Linked DNA regions of Alligator mississippiensis. The protein of the gene in region 2 purifies or fractionates together with the protein of the main gene of each other region. This does not show direct contact. Links are inferred from orthologs where the notes say so. Each region holds a gene or a part of one and is shown on either strand. Other genes may lie near its edges.

Region 1 (6,911 bases), on a different chromosome or scaffold from region 2:
TGCATGCACACAGCTCTTTGTCTCCGCAGAGATAGGTGAAGCCCCTGACATCACAAGGACCACCAAGCCAGACAGTCGGCCTTCACGACAATGGGTCAGCAGCTACCTGTGTCCTTCACGGTACCCTCTCCAAGGCACGCACGCACTCTCTGTCATAAGTAGATTCCTTCCCAGCACAGCTGAGCGTGTTTTATCTGCAGGCTTCCAAACACGAGACAGATAGAAAATGTTGTCTTCTCTAGTTTACTTGGAGCGAAAGGGGAACACCAGTAAACATCAGGCACAAAGGTTTCCAGCAAAGGCCATGATGGAAAATTTTCCTCTAAGCGACTTGCCTGAGTCTCTGACCAGCCCCAGGGCAGAGGCAGGATAGAACAGGAGTGCAGACACCCAGTCCCCCTGCTCTTGCTAGAAGGCAACTCTTCCTAGATAAGGCCTTGTCCACACTAGAAATGCTCTGATTGTGTAGCTGAATAGGCCTGCTCTCCTGTTCCAGCAGTTCTCTGAATGAAATAAGCTGTACCAGTTGGATATCGGCATCGGGATTATCCAGAAGCAACATTACTACAGTGGCAGAAGCTTCTGAGTAGAGCTGATCTAATGTCAATGGTGCACTGTATCCTCTATCGCGGGGGTCAAAAGGGTTTTGTACCACTGGTGTGATGGCAAATCACTGTGTAGGGGGGTGCTCGAGGGGCTGTTTCAGGAAGCAAAGGACAGAGAAGACTTTTGCCGGCACAGAACATCCCAGCACAGTGCAGAATTGTGGAATCCTTTTCTCTTGCAGGCAGGTGTCCCCATAGCTGGCGTCATAGAGACTGGTGCAGCCTGTTCGGACACATCCTATCCATCCCCTGGGGCCAGTGCAGGATTGTTCCCTCCACTGTGGATTGCAAATGCTGTGTTTTGGCAGGAAAAGAAGCTTGGGGCAGCTCGCTCCGCTGCCACGTGAGCTGGGTGGGAGTTTCCTTTAGGAAGGTGGAAAGTTATTGTATTCCTTGTGCTGCCTGGAGACTCATCAGGCCTGTTGATTAGAAGTCACTCTCCTTTCCAAACAAATGAGTTAGGACTGACAGGGCTGCCAATATGGTTTCCTAGCGGGGAGGCAAAATCATAAGACGATCACCTCCATACATGGGGCTCTGAGTCCATGGGGCGGGAAGGGACTTGCTGCAGTGGGCAGAGGGCTGTTCCTTCCCTGAGCAAATGGTAGAACAGAAAGGAAATGTGGGGTGATTGGTAAGGATCACTTATCCCTGCTGAGACTGGATAAAGCTGCTGCAAAGTTGTGCTGCCCTACTGGAGAGCTGCAGCCCTGTGGCAGGGGCTGCAGGCTTCCCTCAGTCCCTAACACAACCTGCCCCATTGCTATGTGGATCATCTGTTGAAAGACATGCAGTGCCCTAGCCTGGAAGCTGGGAAATACCAGCAGGTGGTGCCCAGAGTGAAAAGGTACCACTCGGGCAGGCAGAAGGTACCACAGAGCACAGCGTGCTCAGGGGTCAGGCAAGCACAGAGCCTGTGTCCCCGGGACGAGGGCCGGCATGCACCACACTCATCCAGATGACAGAATGGAAAGTCCCAGAGAATTCCTCTCTGATTGATGAATGAAATCTCTTCCTCAAAAATGCTGACTAGCAAAAGGACTGACCAATGAATCTGGAGAACAGCTCAGGTCCCACTTCCAAGATCTTTGTGTTCCTGGAACCCAAGGATATCTGAATCACTTGTGTCAGTTGGAACCACTAATGAATCTAGTGCCATGAGGCTGGGAAAGGCATCTGGGGGGAGGAGGGGGTTCAATTTCTGTTGCCCTGAATTGAAATGAAAATGGTTTCCTCCTTATCTCACTCCAGCTAAGGGGCAGGAAATGGATATAAATCAACATAGTGGAGTCAGAGACACAAGCCTTTATGCCTGCCGAGGCTCTGGCCACAGAAAACATCTGACACAGCTCCCAAAGGTCAGAGAAGAGACAGGGGACAGGGGAGCCACTGGGGCCAGTGTCCAGGCATCATAGAAGGGCTGAGAGGAGCACTGGACGCAGCGTGGGAGGGCTCAGAGAACAGGCAGGTGTTGCAGCAATGGATGCTTATGAAAACTGACCCAAGTGTTGGGCTCTCTCATGGGCACTGTCCAAACTGGCATCTGTTTAGGGCTCTCTCCACTGAGACTCATAGAGGCTATCAGTAAATACTGCTGGTGTGACAGGCTTTTGCTGCTGGTACTCTAACCTGTCTCTTTCTAGCTTACAGACCTGAGAATCATGGAAGAGAAGTGACTCGCCAAAGGTCACACAGTAGGGCAGTTGCAGAGCCAGTTCTGACTCCAGTTGCCTGCTTTACCCACTAATCACTGAGCCCGTCCCTCTCCTTGCCCCATCAGCTGTTTTTCCCTACATCTGTCTCCTCTGCCTACCTCTGTCCCTTGAAAGCTGGGCTTGGCTTTGACGTTTATCTCAGGACTGCTGTAAGAGCTAATCCTTTCTCTGCCTGCCTGCTGCGAATGATCTCTTCTCTTAGCTGTCTCGGAGCCCCCTGCTGGCACTCTGCTTATGTAGCCACCTGTGGCACCCTGACGGCTGCTGCTGCATCCGAGCACGCTGCCAAACTGTAACGTGGGCAGTAGGCAGATGTCACGGCGCTGGCCTCCTGGAGGGGAGCACGGGACGCTATGGAGGTGATTTAACTCAGTGACGCAGCTGGATGCTGCACTGATGCAATGCTGATGTGCCGGATAGAACGAGTGTCCTCTGCATGAGGGCATGAGGGGGTGTCACGGCGTGAAGCAACGATGCTGAGACACAACAGGATGGTTCAGTGTGGCACTGTGACTCAGGATGCGTTGCTGTGGCGTGTAGGCACAGGATGATGATGCAGAGGTGCCTGCGATTACTATTCCTTCTTTTCCTTCCCAGACTGACAAGAGGCCAGAGCCTGGTATTAGGGCCTTGTTACACCTTACACTATGAGCTGCACAAGTATAGATGGGGGGTCAGTGCTGGCTCGGGTTTGGAGCGGTCACACTTCAGGCCGGAGGGGGCCTGGAGGACTGAAAGGTAAGAACCCCCCCTCCCCTTCTGGGCTTCCCCCAGTCCCCTGCCTCTGGGGCTTCCTCCGTTCCCCCCTTGCTTCCCCTCACTAGAGCACTACTTACTTGTAGGTAGGTGGCAGAGAGCAAAGCCCTGCCCTGGCGCTCTGAGCCCCGCGCCACCACGAGCGCTGCAACCCAGCTTCAGGTGCTGACGCGTGGACAATCTGGGGGTTACGAGCCCCAGGAGCCACAAGGCCCTGCCAGACCCTGGGCAGCCCTGGCAGAGGTCCTGCTGGTGCCGCAGGCTCCGGTCTCTCAAGGGTCGGAGGAGAAAGCCCACGACGCTCCCATGAGGGATGAGTATGGCAGGGCACCCGGCGCCCGTCACTGCAGCTGGCACCCATGGGTGAGCGCACCTGGCAATGTACAATGCACTGAGGCTATGCGCAAGCCTAAAGATAGTGGACAGGAGGCCATACACAGCTGTCCCAGGGCTGCTGCAATGAAACAGGGGTGACGTCACAGGGGCGCCTTGACGTCACGCCGCCGTGTGACGACACCCCGGGGGACGCGAGTGCTGGGAGGAGGGGGCGGGGCAGGTGGATGCTCCAGGGAACAGTGCGATGACGTAACGTTCGCAGTCGATGACGCAACCGACCGCGAGGCCACGCGTGCGTCACTCAGCGAGCACGCGGGCCAATCACACACGCAGCGCGGGGCGGGGCAGGCGCGGATCCCCGCCCAATCCGCGCCCGCGTGACGGCCTCTCGATCCGCCCTCTTCTCGCGGCTCTTCCAGAACCATAGCTCCCAGCGGGCAGCGCGGCGGCGCCCCGGAAGTAGTGGAGCATGGCCGGCGGATCCGGAAGCCCCGGGCGAGGCGCGGGCGGCAGCGCGCCGGCTCTGAGCGAGCAGGCGGCCCCGCGGCGGGCCGGGCCGGGCGGCGGTGGCAGCAGCAGCATGGCCAAGCAGTACGACATGGTGGAGTGCCCCTTCTGCGACGAGGTGTCCAAGTACGAGAAGCTGGCCAAGATCGGCCAGGGCACCTTCGGGTGAGCGCCCCCCGCCCCGCCCCGCCGCTCCGGGTACAGGCCCCGGGAGCCCCTCCTGCCCCCGCCCCCCCGGCCTGGGGCCTCCCGGGGCTGCGCGAGCCCGTCCCCGCTGCCCTCCTCGGGGCTTCCTAGGGGCCAGCTGCCCCCTCCGGGCCGAGCAGCCGGCCCTGCCCCGGGTGGGGGGAGGCAGTTGGGTCTGGCTCGCCCTCGCTGGGCTGCGGCCACTCGCGCGTGGCTGAGCGCGGCCTCTTTCGCCCCGCAGGGAGGTGTTCAAAGCCAAGCACCGGCAGACGGGCAAGAAGGTGGCGCTGAAGAAGGTGCTGATGGAGAACGAGAAGGAGGGGGTAAGGCAGGCGTGCGGTGTGTTGGGGGCGGCTAGAGCCCTGTAATACCCCGGGCAGAGTTGTTGGGAGGGTGCAGGTTGTTCGTGGGGCACTTTGCTGCTGGGCTCCGTAGCCACGTTGGTGTCTGTCTCTGCAACGTGTGAGGCCGTTTCCATCCAGCAAGCGTGGTGCGCTCGTATGCAGGGGTAAGGTTGCTTGGTGCTGTACCTCTCTCGTTAGCCTCGTGGCTGCCCTTGCCTTGCGGGACGGACCCCAGTGAGACACTGAAGGGGGTGAGCGCTTTGCTGACCTGGCTTGTGTCCACCACGTGGGTCTGGTCCACCTGTCAAGTCTGAATTGCCAGCAGTAGGGTCAGAAGCAGAATAGATCTGCACCCTTTCCCCATCCCAGGTTAAACTGGGTGCTGTGGAATAAAGGTCTGTTCCCCTGAGGATTTTCAGCACCCGCAGCATTCACCGTCTTTGCTAAGAGCGCTCGGCAGCTCTCGCATCAGTCTTGGTTTGCAAACATGCCTGGAAGGCACCGAGCACAGCTTTGGGTTTCCACCAAGTTGGGCTCAGCGTCTCGCTCTAATTGTATTTGAGGTCTGTGTTGTTTCTGTTTGAGTGTTTCCGCTTTGTCTCTTTAATCCTCTCAAGGGCTCCAGACCAGTCTGATATGATCCTTTGCCATCCTAACCGGTGGGCCTCATTTCTCCTTTTTCAGTTTCCTATCACAGCCCTGCGAGAGATTAAAATCCTTCAGCTGCTCAAGCATGAGAACGTGGTGAACCTTATAGAGATCTGCAGGACCAAAGGTATTGTTTTGTTGTTCCCCTCTTGGCTCATGTCAGCTGCTTTCTGGAGTATCCAGTAACATTGGCCTGCTGGGTGACTGGGTGCACATCGCTTTCCTCCCTTTGCTGCAGTTCCCCTGTCTGCACAGAGAGAGCAATGCTATTGACCCTTTTTGTAAAGCAGTTCAATCCCTACTGGTGGAAAGTGCTGTGTAAGAGCTAGGAGGTGTGCTATTTGTAATGCATCATTCCTACATGAGATGTAAGATAGGAAGTCCAGGGGATCTGGCAAGGCATCAGCTTGTACTTGGTTGTATTGTAACTCATGTAGATGAAGCTTTCATAGACTCCTTTGAAATATTGTGCTACAACAGTGAAAGGCCTGCGTACATATCTGTCTTTTGTATACAGGAAAGCTCATGCTTTTGTGTGTGTTGCCTTAAAATCACACTGGAGAGAAACCTGATGTAAATTTCTTGTCCTGAAATTGATTTTTTTTTTCCTTTTAAAGCATCAATAGATATAAAATATATCTATTCTGTGTTGCTTTTGCAGCAGTAGCTGGATTTATTTAGCACAATACAGGGTGACTATTTAACTCTGGTTTTATAATAGTACTTTGGCTCAGTGTGTTCACTTACTGTTGCTTGGGGAGGAACTGCCTATACTTTAGTAGATGAATTCAATGGCTTTCCATTTTCACAGTGCAGTTCCATCACTTGAATGCCTGCTTGTTCTTTGACTCGTTGTTTTGTGGACAGTTTCTGGCAGGGAGGATGTTGCCTCTTCTCTACAGGACCTAGCATGTAAGGCCACTGGAAGCGAGTAGATAAAAGTTAATTTTTAAAAAGTTTTTAAAATTTTTAAACCAAATATAGGTTTTTGATTTTTTGTTTTCTTTTAAAAATAAACCTGTTTGACATCCTGACAACTTTAATGGATGATGGTAAGCATATGTGCTAAAACTGCCAAGGCTTAAATAAAAATTCAAGCAGTGCCTGCCAGGTGTTGAAATTGTAAAGAAAATCATGCCACTGAAATGATGGAAATCTCTGGTTTAGCCCCTGGAGTCAGTCTGCTAAAGTGCCAAATCGGTTTTTGATAGCATTTCATTCTCTGCACCTGGAGAAGAACATTGTTCGTTTTGGTTCATTCAGCTAGTTCAGTTCACTGACTTGTTTTCAGTTCCCAAATCTGGGCAAACAAGCTTTCTTTCCTATTGCTTTCTTTCACTCTATGGAATGCCAAATAAGGCACTAGAATGAGATGCTAGTTTTTAAATGTTGTAGGGCATAATGGCCAGAAATAATCGCTACTGATTCATAGTTAGTTTACACTAACTAGCTATTGATTCGTTGACCAAATGGATCTTGTTTCTCTCTTTTTTTTTTTTTTGTGCCCAGCAAGTCGGAGGGGACCAACAGACATTGGGGGAGTCCCTGTTCCCCCGAGCACTACCAGGAGTGACTAGAAATAACGGTCACAAGCTGGCAGAGGGTAGATTCAGACTAGACATCAGGACGCGCTGCTTCAGTCAGGGTAGTTAGGATCTGGAACCAACTTCCAAGAGAAATGGTGCTGGCTCCTACCCTGGGGGTCTTTAAGAGGAGGCTAGATAAACACCTTGCTGGGGTTGTTTGACCCTAGTACTCTTTCCTGCCATAGCAGGGGGTCGGATTTGATGATCTGCTCAGGTCCCTTCCGACCC
Region 2 (6,927 bases):
AGAAAATGTTTCCCCAATATCCAACCTAAACTTCCCTTGCCGCAACTTGAGACCTTTGTAATGCTTTGTTCCATTACAGTTCTGCTAGACCGGTCGTTCTCAACCTTTTTTCTACCAGGACCCATTTCTAAAGATCAATGGCCAGTCCCAACCCAGTGCCCCTCACTCCTGACCCACTGCCCCCTGCCTCCCAGTGTGTGGGGCAGCAGGTGGGTACGTGGGGTATGGGGGGGTGGCCCAAGCAGCCCCATGGAGGTTGGACCACCAGCCTGCAAGGGAAAAACCACGGTTTCCCACAATTTTCTCCTTTAAAGGAGAACCCATTTTTAAAGTTTGTGACCCTTTCAAATATTTTTGCAGCCCATGAGTTGAGAAACACTGGATCTTAAAGTACTTCAAAACAAAATGAGTATTTATACCCATTTTACAGACAAGAAGCCTGATATGGTCCAAAGCAACTGCCCCAGTTTGTGCTAGACGAGAGAACAAAAACCTGGTCTGACTTTCGAGTCCCCCCGCCATCCACAATAACTACTGAACTACACATCACTGGTGTAGCCTGTGAGGCTTCAATACATATACTGTGCAGCAAAAGACGACTGTTCAGTTCTCTCCAGTGTTCGAGCTACGTTCCACAAGTGCCCCCAAGAACGTAAAATAAGTAACTGTAAAGTCAAGGCACATCTATGCCTATACTAAGTGCAAGATCTTATTCTAACACTCTGTCCTTCCTTCCCCTTCACTCTCCATCTCCCCAAGTGTTCACTGCCCTCATTCATCACTTCCTATATAACATTACACAATATCTCAGCAACTGGGACTACATTTTTGTCCAGTAAAATTCCTAGCACTCGCAGTACTGCGAGTACATTGTTCCCTTGCTCACTTTCATTTTTTTCCCCTAGAAATTCCATTGTGCATGGTGGTAATCATTTCCTCTGCCTCGGCGATGTTTATACCTCCTCAAATACTTGTACTTGAAGAGGTATTTTGTTTCAAACATTATAATATACACACACTTAAAGATTACAAGCCAGCACATTCAGCAATCCAACTAGGGCTTGCAGATTGACAGCAAAGTCCTTTCCTTCATTAATATTCTACCTAATTTTCATTCAAGCCTACTGCATCTTTATGAAGTTTGCCCATAGCAGCCAGCTGCCTTCTTCTTCCTGTGGCTAAAAACATTTCTTTGTTTCCTCTGCCGTGATTATACTTATGGAGCAATGACTATACTTATGGAGCAGTATTCACACATGGTTTGAGGAAAAAAGAATTCAAAAAATTTCCCCAGCATATTTTCGGGACACGGGAAAAGCTTTCTTTTCAATTGTTTATTATACTCGGGTTGAACACGGCTCTTGCCCCATGACGACTGGCTAAAATGTTTTAAGTCAAGTTTCAGCATCTTTCCCAGCCAACCTTAAAGTCTTGATTTAAAATCAGCTATCCTCCAAAACAGATGAGAAAGCAATATTTTAATACCATCAGTTTGCTCATTTGATGGGATGGCACTTCACAAACTGGCACCTTCAGGCCTCCCCTACACCACGTAAGCTACCATTAGCAAAGCCCTGTTTATTTAAACACAGACAATCTCATCATGCAGACAAAACTATACAAAGCTGCGTCGAAAGGCATCTTGAATACATCACTAGAGATGTGGACTGGAATTCATCAACTCAAGACATGCATTATTTCTGAATTTATTCGTCAAAAGCTCTTACATCCCATCATGCAAATGATATTCTTTTGTGGTATCAATATGTTTGTCCGAGTATGCATTTACCAGCAGGAAAATAGCAGCTTCACGACAGCTATTTTGCCTATTGACTAAGAGAGAGAAAATAAGAGCAAGAACCTAAAATCATGTCTATTTTGTGCAATTTATTATAATTGCTCCAACTTCTCTCTCACGTCTTTATTTTTACGCTTCGCAGGATATTTTAGGCAGGTATCATTAGGAAAAATACTGGTGTCTTGACATAAGAGCTTCGTTTTGTGACAAAGCTTTGGCTTTTAGAGAAAGAAAGAAAAAAAGAAAGAAAGAGCCCCCCTTTGTGCGGTGTATCACTGCTGCAGACCAAGGGGTCTCTGCTCCAGTGCCCTAGAGAGCGCAGCTATAGGAAGTCGCAGGACACCATTTCAGCAGTGGGTAAAAGGTTGCCTGTGGTTCATGCAGCCCAGTTGTCAATCAGCCGGTCTAAAATGGGTGGCCAAGCTCCAGCATATGTGCCACAAGTGTCACAGGCAGCGCGTGTGTGGCACGAGGCAGAGCGGGGAGGGGGCAGGCAGCACAGGGGCAGATAGACCGGGGAGCAGAAAGCAGAGCAGCGGAGCAGATAGGGGGAAAGTCCTGTTTGCAAACAGGTAAAACTGTAGCAAAGCAGAACATTTACCTTTTCATTTTTACAAAAACCCAGGGCAAACAAGACTAAGGACGCGGGGACTTTTGCTAAATTAAACATTCCAGGTTAAAAATGACACTGTTGCGACTTGAACAAGATGCGCCACAGCAAAGGCATCCATCCCCCCCTGCTCGCTCACTGCCAGGCAGGGGGGCAGGCCCCGCATCTACCCCCGGGCAGCCGGATGCCCCTCGGTGGCATCGGACACCCAGGACGGATTCGCAGGGACGAAGCCCCCGGGGCTCCCCAGGACCAGGGCTGGAGCTGGCTTTGGGGCGCCCTGCCTGCCACCCTTGATGTCCAGAGACCAGGCACAACGCTCAGGGCCGAAGGCGCTGGGGCTCGGCCTCGAGACCCCTCCACACATCGCAGCTTCCGTGCACACACTCACCCCCACCCCCAAAAAAGCGATTTTTTTGTAGTTAAAATTCCCCAGTTGGTCTAATCAGAGGTAGCATTTGGGAACCAAGAGCTCCACATGTTTGCATTTCGCACCCTGCACCACAGGGAAGCAGCGGAACAGATCCCCCACCCGCCCCGCGCTGCCCAGCCCCGCTACCTGCCGCCGCCGCTGCCCGCTGCGAATGCACTGAGCTCCCGCGCCGGCCGCGGGTCCCCTGCGCGAGGCCACGCCCCTCGGCGCGTCCATTGGCAGTCAGCCTTGCCCGTCCGGGCGAGCCGCCTGCTCATTGGCCATCTCTGCTCCCGCATGCAAATCAACAGGGTGTTCTACCCCCGCCCCCCCGGGGTGCTGAGCTCGAGGCCGGGGGCAGCGCGCGGCTGGCTGCAGCTGCCCAGATGTGCCCGGCGCTGCGCGGCGCCTCGGGGCCGGGAGTGGTAGCCGCTCGTTCCGCGGGGCAGCGCGGCTCTGGGAGCGGGGAAGAGCCATCATCGCCCCCCCAGCAGTGAGCAGGGGAAGAGGAAGAAGAGTAGCGATAACAACAAAAGTGGTCGTGGATACCCGTAAGGAGAAATAGTCATTACAACAGAGCTGATGCTGATCCGAGCCGTGATCAGGATGCGATCCAAATGTTAATCCATAATAACAACAGCAGCAGCAACGATGAGGATTACTGCTGGGGCCGTCCTCCTCCTCATCGCACAATAAGAAATAATAAATGATATCAGCAGCGACAGCGATAAGGATGATGGCAATAGCAGCAACAATAATAGTCCTCCTCCTCCTCAAGGTACAAGGAATGAAAATAAAAATAGTCATAATAGCAACAACGATGACGGTGATGATACCAGCAGCGATCATCATCATTATCGTGGTACAATAAAAATACAGCCGCAGCAATGATGATACCAGCAGCAATAACGTCATCATCATCTTGCAATAATAATAATAATGGCCAAAACAAGGAGGAGGAGGAAGAGGATGATAACAGCAATAACAGTAATAGTAATTATCATCATGCAACAATAAATAAATAACAACAGCAACAACAACAGTAATGATGGTGATGATAGTAATACAAACGACATTGCACTAATAATAGTACTATTAAAATGATAACAAAAATAGTAATGCTACTGCTACTAATACTATTAATAATACTATTCAGAGTCACTCCTTCCACTGCTCAGTTTTGCTTGGTGTGGGGGTCTCTCATCCTCCCCCACAAGAGTGGAAAGAAAACCAGTGAACCCACATGTGAAAATGTAACCCACAAATTCCTACAACTGGCTTTTTTATTTATTTGTTTTGTCTCCTCTGACCCTTTGCTTGCTGCAACAGTGAAAGCAGACTGGCTCCTACCTTCCCTTCTCCTGCTCCCCTCTCCCCCTCTGTTTTGCCGCACAGGGTATCCTTGCCTGGGGAAGTGCGTATGACGGGGGGCAGACTCCTGTACCTGAGAGCGCTGGCCAACATTCCCAATGTCCCCAGGGGGCTCAGGTCACAGCAGCTCCCTCGCCCCGTGACACATTTGGGGCCAGGTTTTCTACACTCCCTGTGCTGAGTGAGTGAGTGAGCTCTTCAGGGAAAAAGTGGGCTGCGTGTTTCAACTCTGAACATAATTGCACAGACTGACTCAGCAGCTCTGTCGCCCCAGTTGCAAGGGAGTCAGTCCCTACCTAACTCTGTTGCACTAGCCCAGCAGTGCTAAAGAGTTGCTCTACTTGAGGCCTGCAAGTCTGTGTCAAGGTATTCTCTATCTTCAAGCTAAACCCATTTGTCCTCAGTCCACCCCTTTGGTGGATGCCTGGCTTTCGAAGCATGTGGCATATTCTGACCACTGTTTAGAGACACAGCAGGGGTGGGAGTTAAACACTAACTAAACTCCTCTTTTCTTTGTTTTATGGGTTTAATATTAGACTAGCCCTGTTATCAGAACATATAGTTTTCTGGTTTGTTCCCTTGGCTGTTATTTTTAGCATTGTATCAGAAAAACAAACCCTCTTGTAGTTTTCTAAAAGTTAGCGCTAGAAAGGAATTTTTTGGAGGAAATGATGGTTATTGTAATGATTGTGGCTGTTGTTTGGCTTAAGACTTTTGTTTTAAACTGTATTGGAAACAGCACTGTAGCTAGAACCCAGAATGCTGTGTGTAATGTAATACCTTCTCACTAGTGTTGCACTTTATGTTTCAGTAGCTGTCAGTTTAGGACAGGGAAAGTAGCTAAATTACTTGTATTTTTTCAGTCTCATGTTCTGGTTTACTGGCAGCAGCGGACAAATGGTCAAACCAGCCCTAAACTCTTGGAAGCCTGGCTCCAATCCTGGGCACGGAGCATTTGAAAGTCCAACCCTCCAACCTTTTTATTTCCTTTTTAATTGGCTTGATTGGTATTATAAGACAACCAGGGCCCCAACCATGGTCAGGACCTGATTGTCTTGAGAGCTGTACAAATATCAAAGGAGACGTTTTCATTTGTTTTTCATCTGCAAAGGACCACCTCTTACTATAAATCTGCAATTGGACCTGGCTTTCCCCCTTTTATTGCTACAATAGGTGACCTAAGGACAAGCTTATTTGTCAGTGGATTTATAATGTTATTAATCTCTTTCTGGCAGTGTCTGTTTTTTTGATGTGATGTTGAATCATGTTAGCTTTTTTGCCTTTAGAGACCAACAGAATGCCTTGGAAATGAGAGGCTAAAATTGAAACTGAAATTTAGAAGGTAGCAGCTGGTTCAGTGTAAGGGGGAGTTACTTTAACACAGCTTTTGCCTAATTGAAATGCAGTGGGGAAACTCTGGACATTCATAAATACACGAGGAACAAAATCTACCAGCATTGTTTTAACTTTCATTTTAAATCCTCCTATAACCTTAAACGTTACATCGTTTCCCTGACCCAACCCCAACACTTCTATTTCCCATTTAACAAGCCATTATTGCGGGCTTCAAAGATAGCCAACGCGAAACAGGCCACTTATTTTGTGCAGAAAGCATGAGTGAGGCCAGAGTCCTCCACCATATCTCCACTGGATACCATGAAAGTCAGTGGGAGGAGCTCACACACTGGCTTCACACTGTACCACAAAAATGGCAGCTACTTTCTTTAAAAATGATCACTTGGCATGAATGTGATGGAATTTTCTTTTAAAGAACACTTTTCAATCTGGATGATGTTCTGTAACAAATTCTAGCTATTTAAAAGTTGGGGCTTATCACGCCCCTATTTCTCTCCCCTCCTTAATTTTATAGTACTATTTTAGAAGGAAATTAAATTTAAAAAGGACATTAAAACAGTGAGACTGACGTAAACTCCCAAAAGCCAGGAAATTCACAGCTAAGGCAGCCACTCTGTCCTCAGTTCACCTTCTTGTGCCTGTGTATTGCAGCATAGGCATTATGTAAGATCACACTGTTCTGAGACCTCTGCAATGCTTATGCTAAAGTGGTTGGATTCAGAGCAAAATAGAAGCCTCCGATTGCTTGTTTTTTTTCTCTTTAGGCTTTTATAAGTGAATTTAGAGTAGATGAGAAAGTCAAGTATTAGTCACACTAACTTCATCTGCTGGCAAGTATCTGCATAAAACATTACCAGTGCATCTTTCCCCAACCTACAGCACCCCTTCCCATTCTTGCTGTAGGTTCACATCCAGCTCTGGCAGCATGCCTCAAGTCTGACATACTAAAGCACCTCTTCAACACTGTCACCCCAACCCCTTCTTTTCCCCCAGTGTATGCCAGCCGTGACCCACAAACAGCCTCTGCTATTCCAGCTGTGAGCCCAGACAATCCAGTGTACCCCACAGCTCTGCCAGTGTCCCTTAGTCTTAACTCAACACCGTTATTCAGGTGCTGGGCCTCTCTCGAGCTGAGATTGCCAGTTGTGTAAACCTAAATGTCCTGCCTTTGGGCAATTTGGGATAGAACATTAATATAATTTTAACTGTGCTGCAGCTTCTAGTCCTTGTTATGCAAAAGATATTGCCTGTCAACCAAAGGGTAATATCGGGTAAGAATTTGTATCAGCTGCTACTGTGGGAGAACATAACACAGCTCTGATACTTCATAGAGGCATGTACTCAGGAACATGTTATCTATGTAGAGCTAGGTACTTACTG
Region 3 (7,905 bases), on a different chromosome or scaffold from region 2:
ATCTCAGTGACCCACGCAGGCCTGATGTGCACAAAGCCCATTGTCTCTGACACTGCATCAACATTGCTTGAAGCTTCCAAACTTGGCAGAAACTGTAAAGAGCTGGCCCCTCCAAGACAATCCTGGAGAGGTGCCAAGGGGGTTTCTCACTGGGGTCAAGTGCAGCTGAGACATGTCTACCACTGCAACAGCAATAAGAGTAACACTGAGAACCGCATTTCTCCCAGTAAGGTTTTCACAAAGGTGCCCACGGCACACTGTACATTAGGCACCAAGTTACTGCAGCACTGTGATAACCAGAGGGTACTGCTCCAACAGGCATTACCGTTCAGTTAACGTGGTACATGTCCAGACCAAACTGTTCATGGGTTTATACCAATAGCCAGTTTGGAATTACCTATCCCACCTCCCAAAACAAGACACTCTTTCAGATCAAGACAAGACATGATGGCCCTAGGGACAAGATCCTGCTTTGATTTTAATGTTAACCATCACTCCACCCCCATCCCAGTCCCGGCCATTAAAGGTTTCCCCTCGATTTATGCGGGTTCTTTATATGCGAATTCGCTCTTATGCGATGAGCATATTTAGACCTATAATTCGTTATATGCGAGGTAAGTTCACTCTTATGCGATCAGCATAGATGCCCCCCTGCCCAAACAGGTAAGTGTGTGGGGGGAGGGGAAAGGGCCGTGGCCCCACTCACCCCAGCCCCAGCTATATCACACACAGGCTCAGCAGAAGAAAAGAATGCAGGTCTACCCTGACACACAGATTTTCCTCAGCACATCTCAAAGCACCTCTATGGGAGGTACGGCCCTGCCCCTCTTTATCAGGTAAGAAACTGGAGGCAGAGAAAGGAGGAGCGACTTACCCATAAGCCACACAGCAAGTTGCTGGTGGAGTCAGGAGTGAAAACCCAGACTCCTACTCACTTCTAGGTCATGTCAGGCAGAACATGAATAGGCTAGTATTAAGAACTGACACATCGTTCTCCCCAGTCCAGACACAGCTGAAGATGTTCTTGCATCACACTTACAGCACCAGCACACCAACTCACACTTTAGTATTTCCAAGTGAAAGTTACTTTACCCCATGCAATCACATTTTAACAGGCATCAGGCTCAGCCTGGCTTCACGAGTCCAATGGAAGCCAAGGACTCCCCCTCTCCCCCTGGTCTTGTCAACCCCTTCCCTCTATTTCAAGCCACACGATACAACTCAGAACTGCATTTGAGATCAAGTTGTTCGCAGATGCCGCATTAAAGAGAATTAAATGATCTGCAGAACCGTACGGAAAGAGAAATCCAAGTCAAGTTTGGAGGGGGCAGTTTTAAAAAGAATTATTGAGTGTCTGAAAAAAGGCCAACGATGAGACCATTTGTTAGCTGTTCCCGTTTAACTGGGCATGCTGGGGGGAGAACAATGTTGATGTACCGAGATGAATCTCTTTAGCAACAGTCCCTGCCTCCCCTCTCCAGCTGTCAGGCATGCAGAGAAACCCCCAGCTTTGCGCATGCCTCAAACCTCAGAGAGACAGAAACCGCTTCATTCTGTCACCAGAAAGCAGCAGCAATTGGCCCTTGTGTCCTAACAAGAGAGCGTTATCGTTCCCACTTCCAGGCCAGGCTCTTTTTGCCACCTCTTACCCGAGGCATCTTCTTTGCACACAAAGACAGAGGCTGGGTAGGGAAGAAACAGGGGGGGGCGAGATAGGTTTGCCACCCCTTGAAAAACAAGTCACTTCAGAGGTCTGGTGCCATAACAGAGCCTGTGACAGTCCGGGACTGTGGCAGTCGAACTTGTGTGTACACCCAGCCTTCAGCAAGGACACGCACCTCCTGTTTGACTCCTGCACTGCCCTTCACAGGGGCCCAAGCCCCCCAGGTCCCCTCCCCACCTCATGAAATAGCACAATGTCTTCTTCCCTGCTTAGTCAGCAGCCCCCTCCTCTAAAACCAGCTCTGTTCCCAGCACCCCATGAAGCCCTCACTGGGCACCACAAAACTCCCAGCTGGGAAGGCAGCTTAAAGGACCCCTCCTTTTAGAGGGGTTAGAAGATGTTCTAGGGGTTAGAATGTTTAGGGGTTAGAAGATGTTCTAACCCCACACAGCAGAGCTGCAACCCCTTGCTGGGCCAGCTACATCCTGCACCCCCTCCTGCAGCAGGTGAAGCAGGTACAGCCCCTGCACTATCCTCCCCCCAGTGCAGCCCTCTCTCCCTGGAGAAACCCCACTCTTGCAACACAGTCCACTCACTGCTGCACCCCCACCCCACAGCACCCCTAACCCACTGCATAACCCTGCACCCCAAGTCACTGCATCTCCTACTACAAGCCCCTACTCCACTGCACCCCCACCCCAATGCAGTGTACCCCCACCCCACAGCACTCACGACCGCACCGCACCCCCTACCCATTGCACTGCACTGCCCACGGCATGGCACCCCTAACCCACCACAGAACACTGTATCTCCGACTACAACCCCCTACTCCACTGCACCCCCACCCCAATGCAGTGTACCCCCACCCCACAGCACTCACGACCGCACCGCACCCCCTACCCATTGCACTGCACTGCCCACTGCATAGTGCCCCTAACCCACTAGAGAACACTGTACTACACTGCATCTCCGGCTGCAACCCCTGACTCCACTGCACCCCCCACCCCAATGCAGTGTACCTCCACCCCACAGCACTCGCAACCGCACCGTGCCCCCTACCCATTACACTGCACTGCCCGGCTGCATGGCGCCCTCTACCCCACTACAGAGCACTGCACTCCCACCCCACTGCACCGCCACCCCCCCGACCCACTGCATAATACTGCACCCCACTACACCGCGCTGCACTACACCCCCTGCCCCACTGCACTCCCCACCCGGTGCCCGGGGCCCTCGCGCGGTACCTGCTCCCGAGGGTCCTGCTTCCATCCCATCCACCCGGGCGGCGGCCGAGCCTGGCTGAGCGCGGGGCGGAGGCGGGGGCGGGGGCGGCCACACCGACACCTCCCGCTGCCGCCGCAGCCTCTAGGCAGCCTCCTCCACGCCTGGGCCCCAGCGCGCAGGCGCGGCCAAGCAGCCAATCAGCGCCGCCGGCCGGGCCGGGCCCGGGCGCCAACAAAGGCGGGGGCGGGGGAGGCGCCCCCTGGCGGGCGGCCCCTCAGCGCGCGCCGCCATCTTGGGCTCAGAGCGAGGCTGAGCAGCTGCTGCAGGGCTCTGGCAGTGTAGTGCAGTGCATGCAGTGCATGCAGTGTAGTGTATGGACAGGCTGCCTGGGCAGTTATCCCCAAATAACCTGCTCAGTCAACTTGAGCTGGGCAAGCAGAGAACAGCCAGCTCCCACACTAATGCCTGGCTGCACCCCCTTGCCCAGCACCACCGTGGGCCTCCTGTCTTTCTGTGCGTGGGGTCAGAAATGGAGAGACGTGCATGCTGTTGTGTTTCTAAAGCCCTTCGCCTCGAACCCGCCTCAGGGTTCGCGTGAGCTCGGATAGATCCACGCACGGCGAGCTCGCATGTGGACATGTCCCAGGCCACCGCCGCGAGGAGCTGCGCTCGAGGGAAAGCCTGCTGAACCCCCCCGCCGGACGCTCGGGACAGCCTGGAAACATCCCACGACTGCGGCGTTTCTTTTAGCTCGAGAGCGAGCGAGAGACGGAGCCCCAAGGCACACATTTTCCCCCGGGGGAAGTCGTCCATCTCTGAAAACAAGCAGTCATTAAGTGGCTCATCGAGCACCCCGGTCGTTACCATCCCGCTGTAACGATGGTTGCTGCGGCAGGAAGGCCGGGGCAGAGTAACGCAAAGGGAGGAGGCAGTCGTGTGACGTTGAATCTGCAGGGGACGTGGAAGCGCCTTCCCGTATCTCTAGGTCAAATCTGTTTCTTCAGGTGGGACCGGGACATCTGATCAAAATGTCCTTATGCTCATGTTACCGAGCCACCCATTAAATGACTGCCATAGTAACTAAGATGCCCTACAGCACTGTCAGCTCACAGAAACTGGAACAGTTTGTATTTCCTAGGGGGATTATAGCCTGTTTGGCAGAGGATTTTTTTTATTTTGAGACTCATTTTCACTGCCAGTTCATTGAGTGAACAGTAGGGGATGTGCTTATTTATTTGCAGCTTTTATTCAGTTTTTTGGTATGCGCCTTGTTGGCACATGGCAGACCCCTTGGTTGGTAGGACAGCAGGGGCACGTTTGCTGGTGTCGTGGCTAAGAGCACTGCAGTCATAAAGCTGTGGCAGACGAAGGTCTCTGAAAACTTGAGTATCTTGTGATGCTGCAAGCAGTGCATTTTAGGAAGTGAATCTGTCCTGACTTTGCATAGCAGCCGATGCTATGGGTGGAAGGGGGGGTCCCCGTCTAACTGCAGGCCTGAGACTCTGGTGTCTGCATCTAACTAGATGCCTTCAGCTGCCACACGTCCCATTTCAGAACCGATTCACTTCCCATCCCACCAAAGCACTGCCAACCAGAGATGACAGGGACCCAGCTAAGCAAAAGGATGCCGATGTTCCCACATGGGAACATTGATACCTGGTGTATCAGTGCCTTAGGCAAAGGAAGGTCAAATGGCAATCCTCCCCTCAGGGAAACGGAGGTGAATCTACATTAAGGGCCTCACCAGGTTTTAAAACAAGGAGAAATGCAGTTCACTCTTCCTCACTCTAGCTTGAGCAGTCTCCATGGCTGCTGCAGTGATAGCTTGTATTGTGTTCCCTTGAGGGCTTTACTTCCAGGATGCCCAGGTTGGAAAGGGGTCACAAAAATGAGAAGCAGAAGGTGTTTGCTGTAGCACCATGCTGGATGATTAAGGTGGCCTTTCATGATTTGCACTGGTATGGATGGTGATCACTCATTTTCCTTAACACGAAGTGATCTAAAATTGCAAGGAGCACTTATCCTGCAGTTAAAGGACAGGACTGAGAAGCATGTAAAAGAATAACATGCTCTCTTGAGAGACTTATGATGAAATTTGCATGTCACAGATGGCAGGATCCAGTAGAACCAGAAGCTGGTCTGGATTTGAATTAACACAACTGGCCAAAGGCAGTTTCTGCACCAAAATATTAAATGAGCTCTCCCTAAATAACTTTTCAGAGTTATTTGGAATGATGACCTTATGTGTGACCTTACCATAAGCAGCACAGAGCTCGCTGGCATCATTTCAGGTGAATTCAATGCAGCCCAGGAAATAACTGAAAATAAGGACCAGCGTTCATCTTGGTTTTAAATCATGGGTCATGGAATTTAGCAAAGGAAAATATACTCAGAACAGGTCTGTTTGCTTCAAGCTAGTTTTAGAATTATAGGAAATAGGGCTGCAAGGGGCTCTAACCCCTCTTCCTATCCCAGGGCAGGCTCAGCTTCATTTAAAACATCTGGACAGATGTTTGTTTCAGTAACAGATGACCCAACCTTCCTAGGAAATCTATTTCAGTGCAGTCTGGTCAGTAGTCAGGGCCTGTTTTCCTATTTGCATAGGAAGGATTTATGGAGAAAACTCCTGATTGGATTAATGGGAGTTACCCAGATCAGTGATTTACACACCAGCAGCAAGAGAAAGCTATCTTGCAGTTGGATTTCTGAGCATACCTCAGTGCTGAAAGTTCCTTGGAGCCGGTAGCAGCAACAGCATCTGAAGAGCCAGTGCAGGGAGTGATGTGTGTTTGTGTTCACAACTGTGCACTTGTTCCTCTGCCTTGCACATAAATGCAGAACCCATTGCTGATGTAATTACTGAGAGTCAAACTATGGGAAATGAAACCCTGAGAGCTGATCATGGCAGCATTTTCCCACCAGAGACATCTTCCTCCTGACCTCATCACGGTCTCAGGCCCTGATCCTGCAATCTTGTTCCTGTAGATGGAGCATGAGTTCAAGGCAGACCCTGCCCTCAACCAATACTAGATGGCAGAAATGGGGCCTTAGAACCTTTTTTTATAAAGTAACAATTATGGTGCAGGGTCTGTTGTGTTCAGCATCTCCTTGGCAGCATACCACCATCCCTGCATTAGCTTATTTTGTACGACAGAAGTTATAGCTGTATCTTTATCTTTGTGGGCTTTGGCATTTTTATCAATTTGGCAGCTCTTGGCCATCAGAGACATTACCAGGGATCACTATGTGGAAGTGGATCTCGTCGATCCCCACTGCATTGGCTATCAGTGACTAGAAAAGGAACCTTCATAGCTCACAAATGTCTTCCAAGGTCAGTCCTCAGATGGGTAGAAACTAATTGAAAATATGTCATTGCAATTTGGTATAAGTGGAGCAAGGGGTGGGGAGTCAGGACTTAGGAGTTCCATTCCTGGCTCCACCACCGACTCCGTAATACACCCTTGTTCCTCAGTTTAACCCTCATGGAAATCAGTACCAGTAACCAATACATTCTTTCAACAGAGGGGGAAGAGCATGGACCTCTGCAGCTTAAGGAAGAAGTGAAGCAGTATCATGCAGGGTGAAGAACAGACTTCTGTATTTCAGGCAGCCCCAAGTCAAAACATTTTCTATTCAAAAGATTTGCCTACTCTTTCTGAATATAGATGGACAGATGAACACACAGATAGTGGTGTCTTAGGAAATGGGGGTTAGCAATAATCAGTGATCCAGTCATTTCCACTTCAACTTGGAAAGCTAGAAGGAGCCCTCTGAACAAAGGAGACTGACTGGAATAATTCATCAAGTGATGATGCTTTGGCCAGTCTGGTGGGCATCCCCAAACCATTGAAGCCTCAGCTACACATTTGACCCTCAAATCACTGGTGTTGTGATGACAGCTGAACTAGAATGATCCAGTATTGACGCTAATCTGATTAATGGTTGACAATCTAGCCTTTTATTTAAACTACAGATCCATGATTGCTGTGCTGGGTGCAGTCTGAAAAACTAGTCCTTGAGCTGCTGTTTCCCAGCAAGGAGGTAAGACTGGAATCCTGTTGGCTGGAGTAGGGAGCATATGACAAAGTGGGGGGACAGTAGTTAGAGGTGCAGAAACACCAGTCATAGGATTAATTGGAGAGAAGAGGGGACCACCTCTGTTGCCCTTAAGCAGTGAAAGATCACCCTTGAACCTGACCAACTTTTAAAACAGATAAGCTTTAGTGTGGTTCCATTAAATATGTTGCCAAAGCTGCTAATCCATTTTATGCTTATGACTCCAGCCATAAGAGCTGCTGCTCTTATGGCAACTTCAAATACAAATGGTGTGAGTACCAGGTTCTGTATCATTCTAAAAGGATTTAATCACCTACACAAACAGACCTAGCACTGATATTGTTAAAGGAGAAAGAAGTTCACTCTTCTGAAGGGTAATCATACCAGACAGAGCTGCATTAGCCAAGGGCAGTGGTGACACCAGCAACATCATCAAGTTTCAGTTAACCAGACATGGTGTCACGTTGGGTTTGTGTCATTTAAGTTCTCAGGTACAATTTCTACCAATCCTACCATAGTAGAAACCATTATTGGAAAAGGGATTGTACTGGAATTGTCCCTACCTTTACCTGTACTGCCAGGAAGGCTTTGGGGGTATTTGCTGCCAAATTGTGGAATGCTTATTTTACTACCGAGGACCTGATCCATAGATTATAATTACATGCAAGAGCAACAGGGATGATGGAAATCCAGAGGAATGATTGATGGATTTAGCCTGCTTTGGACCATGGTAACCAAGCTACATAGACTCCAGTGATGATAGTAAAGATGACAGCAAGCAGAAACCCATGAAATACAAGCTGTTTGGATCATGTCATACCTCAAGGAAGACCTCAAAGGACAGAAGAACCTGGAGAAGATGGTTGTTCTTACTTCCAATGTGTCCTGTCTCCAGCTCTCTGCAGTTGCCATGTTCCCTTTTGTCCCAATAGCAACTCACTGCTGGAACCCAGTTTCCCTCT

The links.
Region 1: the proteins of FKBP5 (region 2) and CDK9 purify together in Homo sapiens (affinity purification with mass spectrometry; 10 studies listed by BioGRID and IntAct, counting the BioPlex papers as one, with this or other methods). This does not show direct contact. The link is inferred for Alligator mississippiensis from reciprocal best matches to the Homo sapiens genes FKBP5 and CDK9.
Region 3: the proteins of FKBP5 (region 2) and protein argonaute-1 purify together in Homo sapiens (affinity purification with mass spectrometry; 6 studies listed by BioGRID and IntAct, with this or other methods). This does not show direct contact. The link is inferred for Alligator mississippiensis from reciprocal best matches to the Homo sapiens genes FKBP5 and AGO1.

The regions. Positions count from the first base shown.
Region 1 is NC_081835.1:57,370,808-57,377,718, reverse strand, and holds the start of CDK9 (cyclin-dependent kinase 9), read left to right. Parts: upstream 1-3,895; 5' UTR 3,896-3,992; coding exon 3,993-4,084; intron 4,085-4,346; coding exon 4,347-4,428; intron 4,429-5,133; coding exon 5,134-5,224; intron 5,225-6,911. UniProt on the Homo sapiens protein: Protein kinase involved in the regulation of transcription.
Region 2 is NC_081837.1:36,311,580-36,318,506, reverse strand, and holds the start of FKBP5 (peptidyl-prolyl cis-trans isomerase FKBP5), read right to left. Parts: upstream 3,020-6,927; 5' UTR 2,968-3,019; intron 1-2,967. UniProt on the Homo sapiens protein: Immunophilin protein with PPIase and co-chaperone activities. Component of unligated steroid receptors heterocomplexes through interaction with heat-shock protein 90 (HSP90).
Region 3 is NC_081829.1:8,966,154-8,974,058, reverse strand, and holds the start of protein argonaute-1, read right to left. Parts: upstream 3,017-7,905; 5' UTR 2,933-3,016; coding exon 2,908-2,932; intron 1-2,907.